Linked DNA regions of Alligator mississippiensis. The protein of the gene in region 1 interacts with the protein of each later gene in a biochemical or structural test. Links are inferred from orthologs where the notes say so. Each region holds a gene or a part of one and is shown on either strand. Other genes may lie near its edges.

Region 1 (7,256 bases):
CTTTGAAAATATCCGCCCCAGAGAAAAACAGTAGCAGAAGAAAGCCCTGATCCTGCCATTGGCTCCTGTCTTTGAAAATCTGTCACTGGAATGCAGCCTGGTGTGCACAGTAACCGTGCTGTACCAGCAGCACTACGCAAGGTTGTTTTCTTGATATAGGGATATCAGGAATAAGCTTTCCATGCACATTTTTCTCTGTAAACAAAACATAACTGGGAATACCAGAATGTTGTAAGCTTCTGTTTGTGCATTTTAAAAGCATCTTATGTTCTGTCACATAATTTATAGCGAGGGCACCAAACTCCCTTTGGTCCTCTCTCCCCCCTGGCCAGATTCAGACCCACCTCTGGTGGTGGGGTGAGTGGCCATGGCATTAACCATTGTGGGTTTCTGTGCCTCATGGTTTAATACACTCATTGCTCACCCCTCTGCTGCCAACACATGTCCTGACAGGCCTCCATACGCTCAAATCAGTGGTGGGACCCTGCGCTAGAACTCCCATCCCCTCCAGGTGCCCAGAAAGCCCAATAATAAAGTTCCACAGACCAGCCCTGGCCCAGAGACTGTATCTTTCACGTTACTGGTGTACAGGTTCATTGATTTTAAGGGTGCAAAGGATGGTTATAATTATCTACTCTGATGTCTGCATAATGGGGAACAGAGATCTTCACTCTAATGTTCCAGTAACTCATGGTCCTTCCACTGGGGGCTGTTGATCTTTAGGTCCCTGCACCGTCTCAGGCCTCCTGGAGCTGTCAGCCTTGAGTTGGGGTCCCTTTCCTCTGGGCCCTGTGCCCGGCACCCAGGGAACTTCTATGGAAGCCGAGCCCTCACTGGCTTCAGTTCCTGGCCTCATGCCAGGGGTCTTTCCCCTTTCCAGGCCCTGGTCTGGGCACTGGGGCTCTTTTAGTTTAATGCTGAACCACACTGAGGGGCTCCGGTTATCAGGCCTAGACCCAGGGCTAACTTAAGCAGCCTCGAGCTGCTCCCAAGGCCGAGTCTCCACGCACCGACCTATGCACCATGTGGGGCCCGAGCAGCCTCGAGCATGCAGAGAGCTGGCCCTGGGAGCAGCTCGAGGCTGCTCGGGCCCCACATAGTGCGCAGGTTGATGCGTGGAGAGTTGGCTGAGGAGGCCGGGGTGCCCAGCTGTTTGCCGGATTTGCCTCGAGTGCCTCCCAGAGCCTGAGCACCGTGCGCTGATTCAGGCACCATTGAGACTCAGGCGGAGTCCTGATGACGGAGTCACACTGGGCTTTTATTTACATTGGAGGCCCTGCCCCGAAGTCCGCTGGACCTGCAAAGCGCAGTCTTCAATCATGTCCAGGGGCTCCTTGCCCCCCGCTTCTGAGCAGGGGTGGGGCATGCCCCTCCCAGCTGTTACCTGATTGGTGGAAATGTTCCACCAATCTGAAGTGTCCTTCTCCAAGCCTGGTTTGCTGGGCAAAAGCAGTCAGCCTGTCACACAATCATGCATCATCACCCCAACTCTGTTCTCCATTTTTTGACAGTAGCCCTAGTTCTCGTTAAGAACCATGTTCCTTCCAAAATTGACACAGAATACCAAATGCATTGAGGGATCTTCAATCTGTTTTTTTTTCTCTCAATGATCAAAGTATTCAAAACAACCATCCTTGACCTTCAATATGCAGATGACTACACCACACTTGCACACACTGAGGAAAACATCCACACCATGCTGGATCTTTTTAAAGAAGCCTACTAAACTGTGGGCCTCTCAACATTGAGAAGACTAAAGTGCTTTATCAACCAGGCCATGAAGACAACCCCCTTCCCCAAATTACAATTGAGGGAAAGACCCTGGAGGTAGTCAAGCATTTCCCCTACCTTGGCAGCCACCTTTTTCAAGGAGTGAACATTAATGAAGAGTTCCAGCACAGGATCTGATGCACAAGTGCCTTCTTTGGGAAATTGCTTTGGTGTGTCTTTATTCATCAAGATCTCTGGAAAGACACCAAGATCTAGGTCCACAATGCAGCCATGATCCTCACCTTCCTCTGCAGATGTGAAATGTGGGTGATCTATGATCATCTCAAGAGCCTATAGAGGTATCATCAGCAATACCTCCAGAAAATCCTCCACATCAAACGGGAGGATTACCACACTAATGCCAGCATCCTTGCTGAAGCGAATGGTACCAGCATTGAGTCAGTGTTCCTCAAGCATCAACTTCACTGGACCAGACATAGTGTGCGGATGCCTGACTCTCGACTCCCAAAACAAGTGCTCTATTTCCAACTTAGCAATGGCCTGAGATCCTACAGTGGCCAAAGGGAATGCTACAAGGACACACTCAAGGCATACTTCAAGAAACAGATGGCAACATCAAGAGCTGGGAGGTGCTGGCTGCCAACTGACCCCAACGGCACCACAACCTCAACCCATTTTGAAGTAAAGCATCTTGCCCTCGAAGCAGAGAAGACAGAGTAGAGGAAGGAAAAGGAGAGGAATCCTTGCCTGCAGCCCACTCTCCCCTGCAGAAAGACCTACAACTCCTGCGGATGGATCTGTTGCTCAAGAATTGGACTCTTAAATCATCTCAAGACCCATCAGTGAACCATGGTAGAGACCATCCTTGAATCAAGGGATTGCCAATGATTTTAGTAATCCTTTACTCCTGAGCCATGACTCCACATGGCTAGATATCTGTAAAAATAGAAAAAGAACCAAATTACCTTCTGTTTTACCCAGAGACACAGATGCTGTTAATCTTAAATATATTGGTTTTGTTGTTCACTGAGATGAGTGGATCCTGTTTGTTAAGGATAAAAGGAAGATTTTTGAGGTAATATTTTTCATTGAACCAACTTGTAGAGCTAGATAAGACAGCAGATTCATGTATGCTGACAACATTTGATAAGGAGTGCTCTGGCTAGCCAAGCCACCCTTTGGGATGGGTACTTGGAACCATTGGTTTAGTTTCTTCAGAATCCTGTACATTTTCATTGAACCCTTCGCAAAGATGATTGATTTAAATTATCACTGGATTTATGAAGTTTTTGTGGGTATTTTGTCCAGAGATTTCTCAAGCTCTTGCAAGATGATATCGAAGACACAAAGGACAGATACAATCACATCCTGCTTCACTTCCCAGTTAAGTGGATCACCTATATGGCAGCTCTAGGAGTCTGCTAATATTCTTGATGCTGTGTGTGTTCAAGGTGCTGTTATGTCTCCTGTAGAGCCAAGAATAATTTGCATCCAAAGAGCTGGATAAAGTTTACAGGGAAAGAGCTTTGTGACCAGCTGCTTCCTACATCTGGCTCTCCTCATGCCCCAAGGCCCATAGCACAAGATTCTGAGGACAGGTACAGGGAACCAGCCAGACCAAAGCCCCATGCAAGGATCAAAGCATTGTAGAGGCATGAATGAATTAACCCTAACACTCCACAGGGGTGGGCAAGTCTGAGGGATGCTCATCCTCATTTTAGAGGGAGAGGGGACTTGAGGCAGGTCAGACTACACGAGTAGCAGAACTCAGAAGCCTGGTTATCCAGCACCCTGCTCTAAGCATCACCTTCTGCTCTCTGCTAACCTGTTGTCTGTTTAACTAAATGTACACCAGGAGAGATCAGGTGTCTTTCCCCTCTTTATTCTCCTAAGTTAATGTTTCCCATAGTTTTGATACTGGGGGTACACATTTTTATGGAGTAAAATGGGTGGCACATATCCGCTCCCTGGACCCTGCCGAGGTGTGTGGGGCTGGTGCAGCGTGAACCTGCTGTGTAGGGCCAGCTCTGCCAGAACCCGATCCTGCGCCACGGAGCGTGGCCGTTTGGTGGCGGGAAAGCGGCGGCCAAATATCGGAGCCGCCGGGACTGGGTGACGGCTCCTCCGGCCGGACCCCGCTGACACACACTTGGTGCTGGCGTCCTGCCACAGCCTCTGGGAACCGCTGTCTCAGCTCGCGCACGTAGCCGTGCCAGGGCGGCCGGGGAAGCAGGATGAGTCCGCGGGGCCTCTTGCCCTGGCTCAGGAGCGGCCGCGGCGCCGGCTGAGGCCGCTGCCCGCGGGGCCCCGGCGGCCGCGCTCGGGCGAGGTGGGGCGGGGCTCAAGTGCTGCGGCCGCTCGCGGCGCCCGGGCCGGCTGGGGGGCGGCACCCTGGGCGGGGAGGCCTCAGGCGGCGCCGCGGTGCCCGGGGCCCAGTCGCTGCCGACCCGGGCGGGCGGGAGGCGGCGCAGCAGCCGGTCCCGGAATGCGCTGAAGATGGCGGCGGGCAGGCGGGCGCCCAAAAGCGGGCTGCTGGAGCTGCGCGTCCCGGCCGAGCAGTGGCTGCGGGTGCTGGTGACTCTAGCCGAAGACTTCCTGAGCGTGAGCCCCGCCAAGGGCGCGGCCGCCGAGGAGCCTCCGGCCCCGGCGCCGCAGGACAGCGCGGAGTCCGGCGCCGCAGTGCCCGACGCGCTGGCCAACATCAAGCGCACGGTGCGGATCGTCAAGCAGGACGTGGGCGGGCTCGGCATCAGCATCAAAGGTGCGGGCGCGGGGCGGCCCAGGGGCGCCGAGCAACTTTGGGGCCAAACTTTGCGGCGGGTGCTGGGAGCGTGCCGGGCGCGGGGCCCGCGGAGCTGCTGTGCCGGCGCCGCCGCGGGCCTGGCCCGCGGCCCCAACGCGCTGCTGCCACACGCAGCTCCTTGCGGCGCTCTCCGCCTGCCTGGGACACGCGTCTGCTCGGGCTCGCTCCGCCGGTCCCTCGAGGCGGGGCAGCTGCCCGCAGAGTTCAGCGGGGGGCGGTTACCAGTCTTTATTTCAAAAACTTGGACGCTTCTTGTCGGGGGTGGGAAGAGCAAATCACTGCGGGAGGATGCTTCTGTCTGGGAGATCCCCAGGCTGCTCCGACCCGACTTCTTGGCTTGCCTGATGCAGCCTCTTCTGAGGCTGGAGGTAGAACCCAGCTGAGCCGGTTGGCTGCTGCTCAGAAATATCAGGCAAAAAAAGTTTAAAAATAGATGCCAGGGACAACGGGTTTCAACCGTTATATTTGCAGACCCCTAAAAATGTTGAAAGGCGGTGCAGGCACCTCTGACCTGTGAATGTGGGTGGTCACATACTTTTGACTGATCATAGTCATCTTTCACAGACCCCTTAGACATAGTCTGGGCCCCCAGCCCCCTGTGGAAACCACAGTTATGCCCCATACCTGGGGCAAGCAGAGCTGAGAATTGCTTTTCTCCCAGGGCTCTGCTACTGTTTCAATTAGAGTAGGACACATCTTCAGGCACTAATTTTGTAGCTCATTGGGTCTTTTTAAAGCAGGGGAGTCCTTCAGTGTGATAATTACTGTGGACATGTGGCCCATCTACATTTGTTGCACAATTCACGGTCAATTGCGTGATACATATCACATGTAGCAGGTCCCTCCTCCCCCTCTGTTTCTCTCCCATTCTGTGCCTTTGAATTTGGAATTCAGCTGTGTTTTGCAGAAGTGTTAAGGTGTTATTTGTCCTCCCCTTTGTAACTGAACCAAAAGGCTGTTCTACCTTTTTGCAGCCTATTAGCATCCCTTCATATTAGCCAGCACCAGGCAACAGATCTTGCTCCATAACACCTTGCCCATATCAGAAGTGACGATGAAAAATCCGCAGTCCACACCACTTGTCAGATTTAACCTTCTAGGGGGACTGAATTGTAAAGGCACCTCTGTCAACCCCATCAGCACGACTTGAAAGACCTCATTTGTACAAGTTTGCTGCACTAAGACACAATGGAGAAGTTGGCACAGTGTGTTGAAGGAGCTCTGAGTAATAGACAGTGTTAACACAAAATAAACCAGGTTTTGAAGGTATAATTTTCTTGAAGCGGCAGGACGCATTTATTTATTTTATCTGTTAAAGTTTCTCAAGCAACCTGGAAAAAGTGCAGCTTTGACCTTTAGAATCAAAGATGGAGGTAATGTACCTCTCCAGGAAGTTGAGTACATTCACAGAAGATGAAAGGAAGTGATTTTAGGAAAGCTAATCTATTGCCATGCCCCTTTAAAAGCTAGGTCCTTCCTTTAAACTTACACCCAGTGTTTTTCATATTTTTATTATGAGCCAAATGCAAGAGTGAAATAGAGTCCCTCCAAACTATGAAGATTTGGGGCAGAATCGTATTTTACTTTGTGTGCCCAAGTGCCAATTTTCCACCCTTCTAATTGAGAGTTTAGCGTTGACACAGTTTGCAATCCTGTCTCTATATAGCATGAATGTGCATCCACGTGACTACTGAGCATGTTTAATGTGAAGGTATATATGTTCCAAAATTTCAGTCTGGCAAAAAGGAGGGCCCCCTTCCCATGTTTTAGTGTCAAAGCCATCAGAAACAGGAGATTTACGTTATGGACCCCCATTCCTCCCATGCAAGATGGCTTATAAACCTGGATCTTTCTGACTTCCAGGATGGCGCGCTGGGTATAGGTGAGGCATTATTCAGCCGTTCTTCTGAACCTGAGTTGCTGTACTTTGTGTTTAATATTCAATGGATAAACAGGTATTTCTGGTGCACTGGGAGAAAGGGCCCAGATTAGAATATAGGATCTGCTCCCTTGCAGAGGGCCAGACCATAAAATAAATGCATAACATATGGCCTGGTGATTAGAACATTGTGCTTTTGGGAAGTTGAAGAGGTGGAACATGATCTATATACTAGATTTTTTGCTTCCTGGGTAAGTGTGTTAGCTACCCAGGTATGGGATGTAAAGCATGAGAGAGCCCCCCTCCTCCTTTTCTGGCATCTAATAACCTGCTATTTGTGGAGTAGCAGGTGGAAAGAATTCCATGACTTGGCTTGTGCAGAGTACGTGTGTATGGAGCTGCATATCTACCCAGCCAGAGTGCAGCCTGCCACACGTGTTTAGTAACTTTATGGATGGTTGCACAGTGCATGTGGACTAACTTCACAATTTGTAAGTGGCACAAATGGCAGTTGCACAGCTGGAAAACAGCCATTTGGGTGTATAAAGTGAATTAAGTTTCTTTCTGCCCTTGGTGTTCTCAACCCACAAACTTGGTCAGTCTCCCAAGAACTGTGGCTGGCAAGGAGTGGGGAAGAGGACAGGACATTTGCACAAGCTGAATAAAGCACAGAAAGCTAGCAGCTGGCCCAAATTCTAGTGGCAAAGAATGGAGACATAGCAGCATTTTGGATATTTGGGGCCAGCTTTGCAAGAGATCAACATCCAGCATTCCTTTCTGGCAGCCAAAGAAAGCAGACAGCTTTTCATCTGCTTTCAGGGGGCCACTTCATTTGGCTGTCTG
Region 2 (7,769 bases), on another chromosome or scaffold:
TGCATCCTGATTGCATGGGGTCTGAAGTAAAGCAGAATCAGCCAGGAACCTGCAAAATAACAGCTATAATCCTCCACAGAAGCCATATGATATGGTCTTTTCCCTGGGTTGGCCTTCCCAGAAGAAAAAAAAAATATATCTAAACAAAACCAAGGAAGACAGCCACACTTGTCTGTCTGGAGGATACACTGTGTCAGGAAGTATCATCCAAATGCACACATAGAAAAAGGAGCAACAAGCACCCAGTGGGTACCTGAACAAGCCACTGAAGAAAGAATTCATTTGAGACCAAAAAAGGGACTGGGGGATCAGGAACCTATCTAAGATTCAGAGAGTATTACTGATGTCCAATATAAGGAAGAAGAGTCCTCTCCTGTGTGTGCTTCCCCTGACCTCCATCCTCTATCTGTGTCTCTTTGGGAAGCTATGCTAGTGAGTGGCTGTTATATTTGGCTTATCTTCTTTAATGAGAAGTAGATTTTGCCTCTTGGCATGTGACTAAGGTATAATCTTCCATAAAGCTTCCCATGCCAGGTGACTGGAGCCTTGGATATCTGTGTCAGTGCATCTCAGTTGCACCCGTATGAGAGTGGAATCCAGTCCAAAGGGATTGGTGCTTTGTACTGCCATGAAGACCTGCATCCTTCCCAATGTGGGACCCAGCTGCCCTGCACCAGGGTGCTGATGGTGGCAGATTTCTGTATTGCAGGCCAGAGGGCAATCACTGCCAACTTAAGAGTCTCACAATACTTGGTATTTGTTCTTCAAGCCTCCTCTACAGGAGTCAAATGAATCTCCATTTTCAATAAAATAATAAACCAAGTTTCCAAGCCCTCAGGCTACAAAGAAAAGCAAAGCGGGGGGAGGCGGGGGGCACTTATGTGGGATTTTTGAGCACTTAGGGTTGGCTCTAGTAAGAAGGTCTACCCTTTACACCCCCTCCTGCCTCACACAGTAGGGGTTGGAACTCCTCCAAAGGTATTGACAAGGGGAGCTGCTGGGCTCTGCTTTCACCACAGATGACTGGGACTACTGTGGAGGCCTGTTGTGGTACCTCCTTCCATTCCATACCCAGCCTCAGTTATCCTTGAGATTGCAAATGCTGCAAATTCAGAGCTGTTCCCCCTGCATTATCATAGAAAGACTAAGAAGGCCAAGTCCAGGGCTGGTCAGAAGCTTGTATGCTGCACCAGACTCCAAATGGCACTGGTTTGGACACAGCTGCCTCACAAGTATTAACTGCTTTACCTTGCAACCACCCCAATGATGTAGGAACTATCACTACCTCCATTTTACAGACGAGGAACTGAGAACAGACAGACCAAGATACCACATCTTTAAAGGTACATGGGACTGGAAACAGTCTAAACCTCCCATTTTTTTCATTCCATAATCACACTAAGGGCTTTGTTGTGTCATGGTTCCCTCCATGAACTGTCCAGTTCAGGTCTCCTGTTACCTGAAGCACAGGAGGGCATGCTTTATCCCCACAAATGGGGAGCACAGTGGGCACAGTTCCCTGGTGTTCTCCACTCTTTTCCATGTCATCTGCCTTTTCTAGTCTATACACATCCCATCTCTCATTTCATTACACGACACGGTCCCACCCATACCCTGAAGTAAGCAGGGCTCCAAGCTAAGGTATATTCCCTACTCCCAGTGGAGCCTCCCCAGAAGGCACCCACATAGCTCAGAAAGACCAGGGTGGGATCCACACACCCTAAGGGTGTGTCTGGGGTGGAGAATTCAAAGCACAACCCCTGCCCCTCTGCAGCATCACCAAGGTCCACCTGCATGTGGGTTATCCAGGGAGCCATTTCCTATCAGCTGCTTTCCCATTTTACAGCCTACAATTCCAGAAGAGTGCCACTTATTGCTGGGCAGCTCCTTTACTCTCCTCTAAATGACCCTGGCTGGGATGCTGGCTGGCAGCTCCCTCCCTCCCCTTTTCCTCTGCTACCTTAAGAAGCAGTATCCAAAGCCCCGGCTGTGCCTGCTGATGGCTACTGGGTTATTTATGCCACAAAATAACCCCCAGGTATCCTTGAAAGAGCATCAGGATCAAACAGCCCTGTTGGCTGTTGCATCCCCTCCCTCCCTCCCTGTCTCTTTCCATGCCTCTTCCTTGCTCCTTCTTTATCTTTAATGCTCCGGAGCGCACACTGCGAATCATTTCACTCCATCATCAGCAGACACAACACGTGTGGTTGCAGGTCCACAGAGATGCTGACAAAGGCTCACGAGCCCTCTGGCAGCAAAAAAGGGAGAGATCCTGCCTACCCTGATCTGTTCAGACTGGAAGATGACTTGCTTTTATCAGGGGAGGGGACCCCAGTGAGAGCCATTGTCCTTTCATTATCGTGAGTGCACTGTCATCTTGGTCCACGCCAGCCCAAACAGCTATTGCTCAGCCAGCAAAGCACATCTCGTGCCAAGTAACAAGATGCCAAGGCAAGGACAACCTGGAAAGCCAGGCCCCCACCAGGTGCAAACAAATGCCATGACTTGCAACAACCCTACAGAAACCCCTCCCTGTACGTGCCCCCTCCCCCCCCCCCAAAAAATCCAGGGTACCAATTTTTCATCCCAGCATCATAGACCATTCGGATGAGAAGGGGGTCACATCTAGTCCCACCCTTTGCTCAAAGCAGGACCATCCCCATCTAGATCATCCCAGCCAAGGCTTTGTCTGCCTGGAAATAAAAAACCTCCAAGGATGGCGATCCCATTGCCTTCCTCCACCTTATGTAGCGGGGGCTGGTTTTGGTGCAAGAGCTTCCCCCAGACCACAGCAAAGCCTCTGCATCCTGGGCCACTCAGCACCTCGCCCCCAGCCCCAGGGCCGGACTAACCCCGCCGGCTGGGCTGGGCTGGGCGTGCAAAACCCCGCGGGGTCCGGCTGCTCCTCGCCTCTCTGAAGGCGATCGCGGCTGCACCAGGTGCGGCAAGAAGATGCTGGGGGAGCCCCCCGTGCTGCCCTTACCTTCGGGCGGTCCATGGTGCTGGAGCGATCCGAGCCTGCTCCCTGTCCCTCCTCCGCGGTCCTACGCGATGCGCTGCGCTGGCTGGGTCGGTCTTCGCTGCACACTCGCCCTGGGATTGATGCCACTGGTCTGAGGTTCATGACTCAAAGCCGCTATTTATGGCTTTGGTGAAGGGGCGGGGCAGGGACGAGCCCCCGCCTGTCTCGCCTGATGCTGAGAGGAGGAAAAAAAGCAGAGGTCTTGTGACCTCCCATGTCAGGATTGTACGTTTGCATCGATGGAAATTGAAACAAGCGCAGCGCCCCTTACAAGGCAGCGTCTGGCAGCGCCGCCTCCCCTGGGCTGGGGCTGCGCTTCCCGGCAGAGAGGGCCGGGAGGAGAGGGGGCGATCGGGGGGGGGAAGAGCTGGTAGGGCTGTTGCTGCCCTGGAAACACGTGATGGAGGTGGAATCTATCTATCTATCTATCTATCTATCTATCTATCTATCTATCTATCTATCATCCACCTGCCCATCTGTCTAAATATTCATCTGTCTGTCTGTCTATCTATCTGTGTGTCTGTATCTATCTATTTATCTAGATCTAGATATCACTCACTCACTCTCTCTCTCTCTCTCTCTCTATCTCAGGGGTAGGCAACCTCCAGCATGGGTGCCAGAGCATGGTATGCAAAGGCATTTGATTTGGCATGCATGCCTCAGGGTGGATGGCAGGAAAGGGGCTGGGGCTGTGCTGCCACAACCAGGATTAGGCCCCTCACGGCTCCCTCGCCATCTGCCTTTGGCACACCAATATCTTACAAGTTGAGGTTGTGGGTGTTTTTGGCACTAACCAAAAACAATGCTGACCACTGATCTATCTATCTATCTATCTATCTACACGTGTGTTGTGTCTGCTGATGGAGTGAAATTTTATATATATATATATATATATATATATATATATATATATATATATAATCATAGAAAATTTGGGTTGGAAGAAACTTCAGGAGGTCATTGAGCCCAACTCCCTGCTCAAAGCAGGACCATCCCCAACTAGATCACTCCAGCTAGGGCTTTGTCAAGCTGAACCATAAAAACCTCCAAGGATGGCAATTCCACCATCTCTCTAGACAACTTATTCCAGTGCTTCACCACCCTCCTAGTGAGAAATTTTGTCCTAATATCCAACCTAAACTTACCTTGCTGTGACTTGAGATAGTGTGCTGTTGCTGCCCTGTAATGGTGACAACACAGTAATGCAACACTCCAGCCCCGCTATAGAAGGACGAGCTAGCTGTGTTTGGGAGGTTCTTTATGAAATGGTGGTGCACTGTGTTCAGAGGTGAGGGAGATTCTCAGGAACCTCTAAAAGAAACAGAAACCTCAAAAGATGCATCTGGACAGCACACCCCCTATATGAAGCTAGAGACTCTCCATGCTGAGTGATTCTGCTGTGTAAAGTTGGCCTCTACAACCGGAATCAGTTCCTGACCACAAATCATTACGTGCTCTTTCCAGTTCCAGAGAAACTCACCCTCCACCCTCCTTACAGCCCCTTCATCAGCCAAACTATAGCAAAATGGTTGACTCAATCAAAGAGCCAGGCTTTTAATCCTAGGCAGAAACCCTGAGCAGTAAATTCCCTGTTGGGTACAGAACCAGTTTGAGTCTAGAAAGTGGCAACAGTTCAGTATTGGAGGGGATTGCAAGGGAGATCGCATCTCATTGATTGAAAGACCATTTTATGTTTTCTTATCAACTTTTCTCATCTGATTTGGAAAGAATCTTAATCCCATTTCAGTGACTGTCTTAGAATGATCAGTAGGGTTACCATACATCCAAGTCCTCCTGGACATGTCCCCTTTTTGGGTCCTCCCATCTCTGTCTGGGCATTTTTTTTTAAATCTGAACCGATGTCTGGGATTTTGCTCCACTCCTCTGGTGGGAGCAGGGGAGGGCATGTGCACCGGCAGTTGGATGCAGGTAAGTCTATAAGGAACGGGGTTGGAGGACCTGGACTTGGGGGCTGTTGGGGGGGGAGGGGCAGGGATGTGTGGAGGGGGGGGGGGAGGGTGACGCTGGGCAGGTGCCTGGCAGCACTGGCAGGGCTGGGGGGGCAGGCTTCAGGTTGGGATTGAGAGTCACCAGCATAGCCAGTGGGAGGGGAGGGGAGGACAAGGAACTGTGGGTCAGGAGTGAGGTGCACTGGCAGAACCAAGGGGCTGCAGGTTGGGAGTGAGGGGCACTGGCAGGACCAGGGGGCTATGGGTTGGGAATGAGGTGTCCCCCCAACAGGTGTGCCCTTTTTTAAAACTGGAAATATGGTAACCCTAGTGGTCACACAGGGACAAAGAGGAGCCAAAAGTGCTGTGGGTTTACAGTTGGGCACAGGATGAAAGGTTTGTTTTGGAGTCTGAACTTCTCTATAGTTCAGGAGTGTTCAGATACCGGGTGTAAATAGTAGTTTTAGTCAGAAAATTGGCTCTGTGAAAAAGATTAGGAGAAATTACACATTTTCTTCACGCAGTAATTTCCCGCTCATGCAGACTACCTTTGCCAGTGTTAAGGATTTTTTTCTCCCTTCTTAACTTGCCAAAAATAATCCAGCAGTCTCTTACGTCAGTACTGAAAATAATGAGAGAGGAGTCAAATCACTATTTTGGAGATGCTCTGCACAGTTCAGGATATTGGATGTTGCAACTAATCTCCACAATGGGCTAAGAATATTTCTAATTCTTAATATTTCTGAGTCCTGCCTTGCCTTGAGCCGGCCCTCCTTTCCCACCCCCACCCCCAACTTCCTGTAAGTGCTGTGAAATCCAAAATCTGGGCTCAGATTTAGATACAAATTTGTAGCTCCAAACCCAGTTGTAACTGTAATAACAATTTTGTCATAGGAATCTCACTACTAGATCCACTTGTGACATGGTTTATTCAGCCACACTCTTTAAGGGGTTGCTTAAATGAGATTAAGGGGTTTAACGGGGTCTGCAGGGTAAAGAGGAATGATAATTAGACATAAGGTTAAGAGTTGAAGCTGGAAGCTAAGCTTACCCAAAGATGTAGGGACAACAGATCTACCACACTGATTTGAGTGCCAGTTCCAAACAACAATTCTAATTCAGCTGTCCCATGGTTTAAAAGAGTTGGTAGTTTAAGTATGGATGCAAATCCATACCTTGCAAAATTATACCCTTTATTAGGCCAGTTACTTAAACCTAGGGCTGTCTAAATTCCAGGGAAGTGCCCGGCCACAAGACTACTGAGTTAGGAAGAGCTTTATTCTTTTACTAGAAGTTCTACCTTCTACATCCAAGTTGGTACATGCCTGCAAAAACTTGGTGCTTCAGATGAGTCAACATCTTATGCTGAAAAGCTATTTTGCCAGAAAATTCCCAACTAGTCCTAGGCAAAAGCCCTTGTGTATTTGAAACCCTACCAACAGAAAGTGTTGTTGACATGGGGAATTAGTATAAGCTTTGTGAAAAATTTGCAGTGTTAAGAGAGGGCAGAAAAGAGGAATGAAGAAAGAAAAAAAGAAAGTACATAAAGAATGGGAGAGAAGAGAGGGGTGTCTTTTTACTATTAAAGTGATGGAAAACTATGATCATGGGCATCTATATACATGCTTCAGGGTGGGGGACCAGAGGGGTGTTTTAATCTTGGGACCCACTCTAATTAAAATGCCTGCAGCGTCTCATGTATTCAGTGTCCCATGCTTCAAAATGGCGGCGAGGGTGCTTTAATTAAAGCTCATTCAGCAAGTTTAGTTAAAGTGCCCCTGCCGCCATTTTGAAATGCGGGGATGCTGAATACACATGATGGTGATGCTGCTGAAGCATCCTAATTAGAATGCGCCATCAGACTTAATTAATCGAGTCTGCTCCAACACGCATTGGTGCAGGCATCCCGCACGTGTACAGGCACCCAAGAAGAAGTGTGACAGGGCAGAGAAGAAAGAGAGACAGGGGAAGGAGAGGAAGAGAGCACATTAGAGAGAAAAAAGGAAGAAAAAACAAAGGAGAGAAAAGACAGAAAGGGCCAAATTTGAGTCCATCTATTTTGCACCCAAATGTGATCTTATCCCACCCTGCTCAAGTTCCTAAAACAATTAACATGCTACTTTTGTAACACACTGTCATCTTAGCCTTAAGACTAAGTCTTAAAAAGCAGAGATCAGGAGGAAGACCCACTCACCCTTTTCATTAACATTTTTCCAGGGACTCCCGCAGAGTGTAACAGAATTGTACGTAGGTGCCTAAGTCGACTTACGTACCTAATAGGCTGCACAGATTCTGGAGCCAACTGCCTTCTGACTTTTGAAACACTTTTACTAGATCTAGTATATTAAACCTCATTGAAAGTGCAATACACATGCAAAGCATTAAGAATTTAAAATACAATTGGAGGCTGCTCCCAGAGGTACAAAATATATCTCCGATAAAGTGTGGAAGAAGGAAAGAACATGTATGGGACAGGCAAAGGACGAATAAAGTCGAAATTAAGGAGAGATGGACTCTGTCAGTGGAGAGAAGGGGAGGAATGACAACAGAGGAGAGAAAGACAAATGCATAGAGAAAGGGGATGGAAGAGAAAAAAGTTTGGGAGAGAAAAGGTGCTTGTAAAGGAAATGGAAGGAGAGGTAAGAGAGGAAATAGGGAGCAGTGCCATAGCAATGAAGTTTGGCGCCCAGGGCAAAACCCGCAATGGCAGCCCACCTTTGCCCTGTGCACAGATCCAGGCCCCTCCCCCCCCCTTGCCTGGGAGTGCATGCAGCAGTGGGAGCTGCCCTTCCCCCATC

What was found.
Region 2: the proteins of SNTA1 (region 1) and solute carrier family 2, facilitated glucose transporter member 3 interact in a test that uses a peptide from one of them, tested with the Homo sapiens proteins (2 studies listed by BioGRID and IntAct). The link is inferred for Alligator mississippiensis from reciprocal best matches to the Homo sapiens genes SNTA1 and SLC2A3.

The regions. Positions count from the first base shown.
Region 1 is NC_081832.1:27,973,756-27,981,011, forward strand, and holds the start of SNTA1 (alpha-1-syntrophin), read left to right. Parts: upstream 1-4,126; 5' UTR 4,127-4,227; coding exon 4,228-4,492; intron 4,493-7,256. UniProt on the Homo sapiens protein: Adapter protein that binds to and probably organizes the subcellular localization of a variety of membrane proteins. May link various receptors to the actin cytoskeleton and the extracellular matrix via the dystrophin glycoprotein complex.
Region 2 is NC_081827.1:148,010,148-148,017,916, forward strand, and holds the start of solute carrier family 2, facilitated glucose transporter member 3, read right to left. Parts: upstream 3,140-7,769; 5' UTR 3,125-3,139; coding exon 2,984-3,124; intron 1-2,983. UniProt on the Homo sapiens protein: Facilitative glucose transporter. Can also mediate the uptake of various other monosaccharides across the cell membrane. Mediates the uptake of glucose, 2-deoxyglucose, galactose, mannose, xylose and fucose, and probably also dehydroascorbate.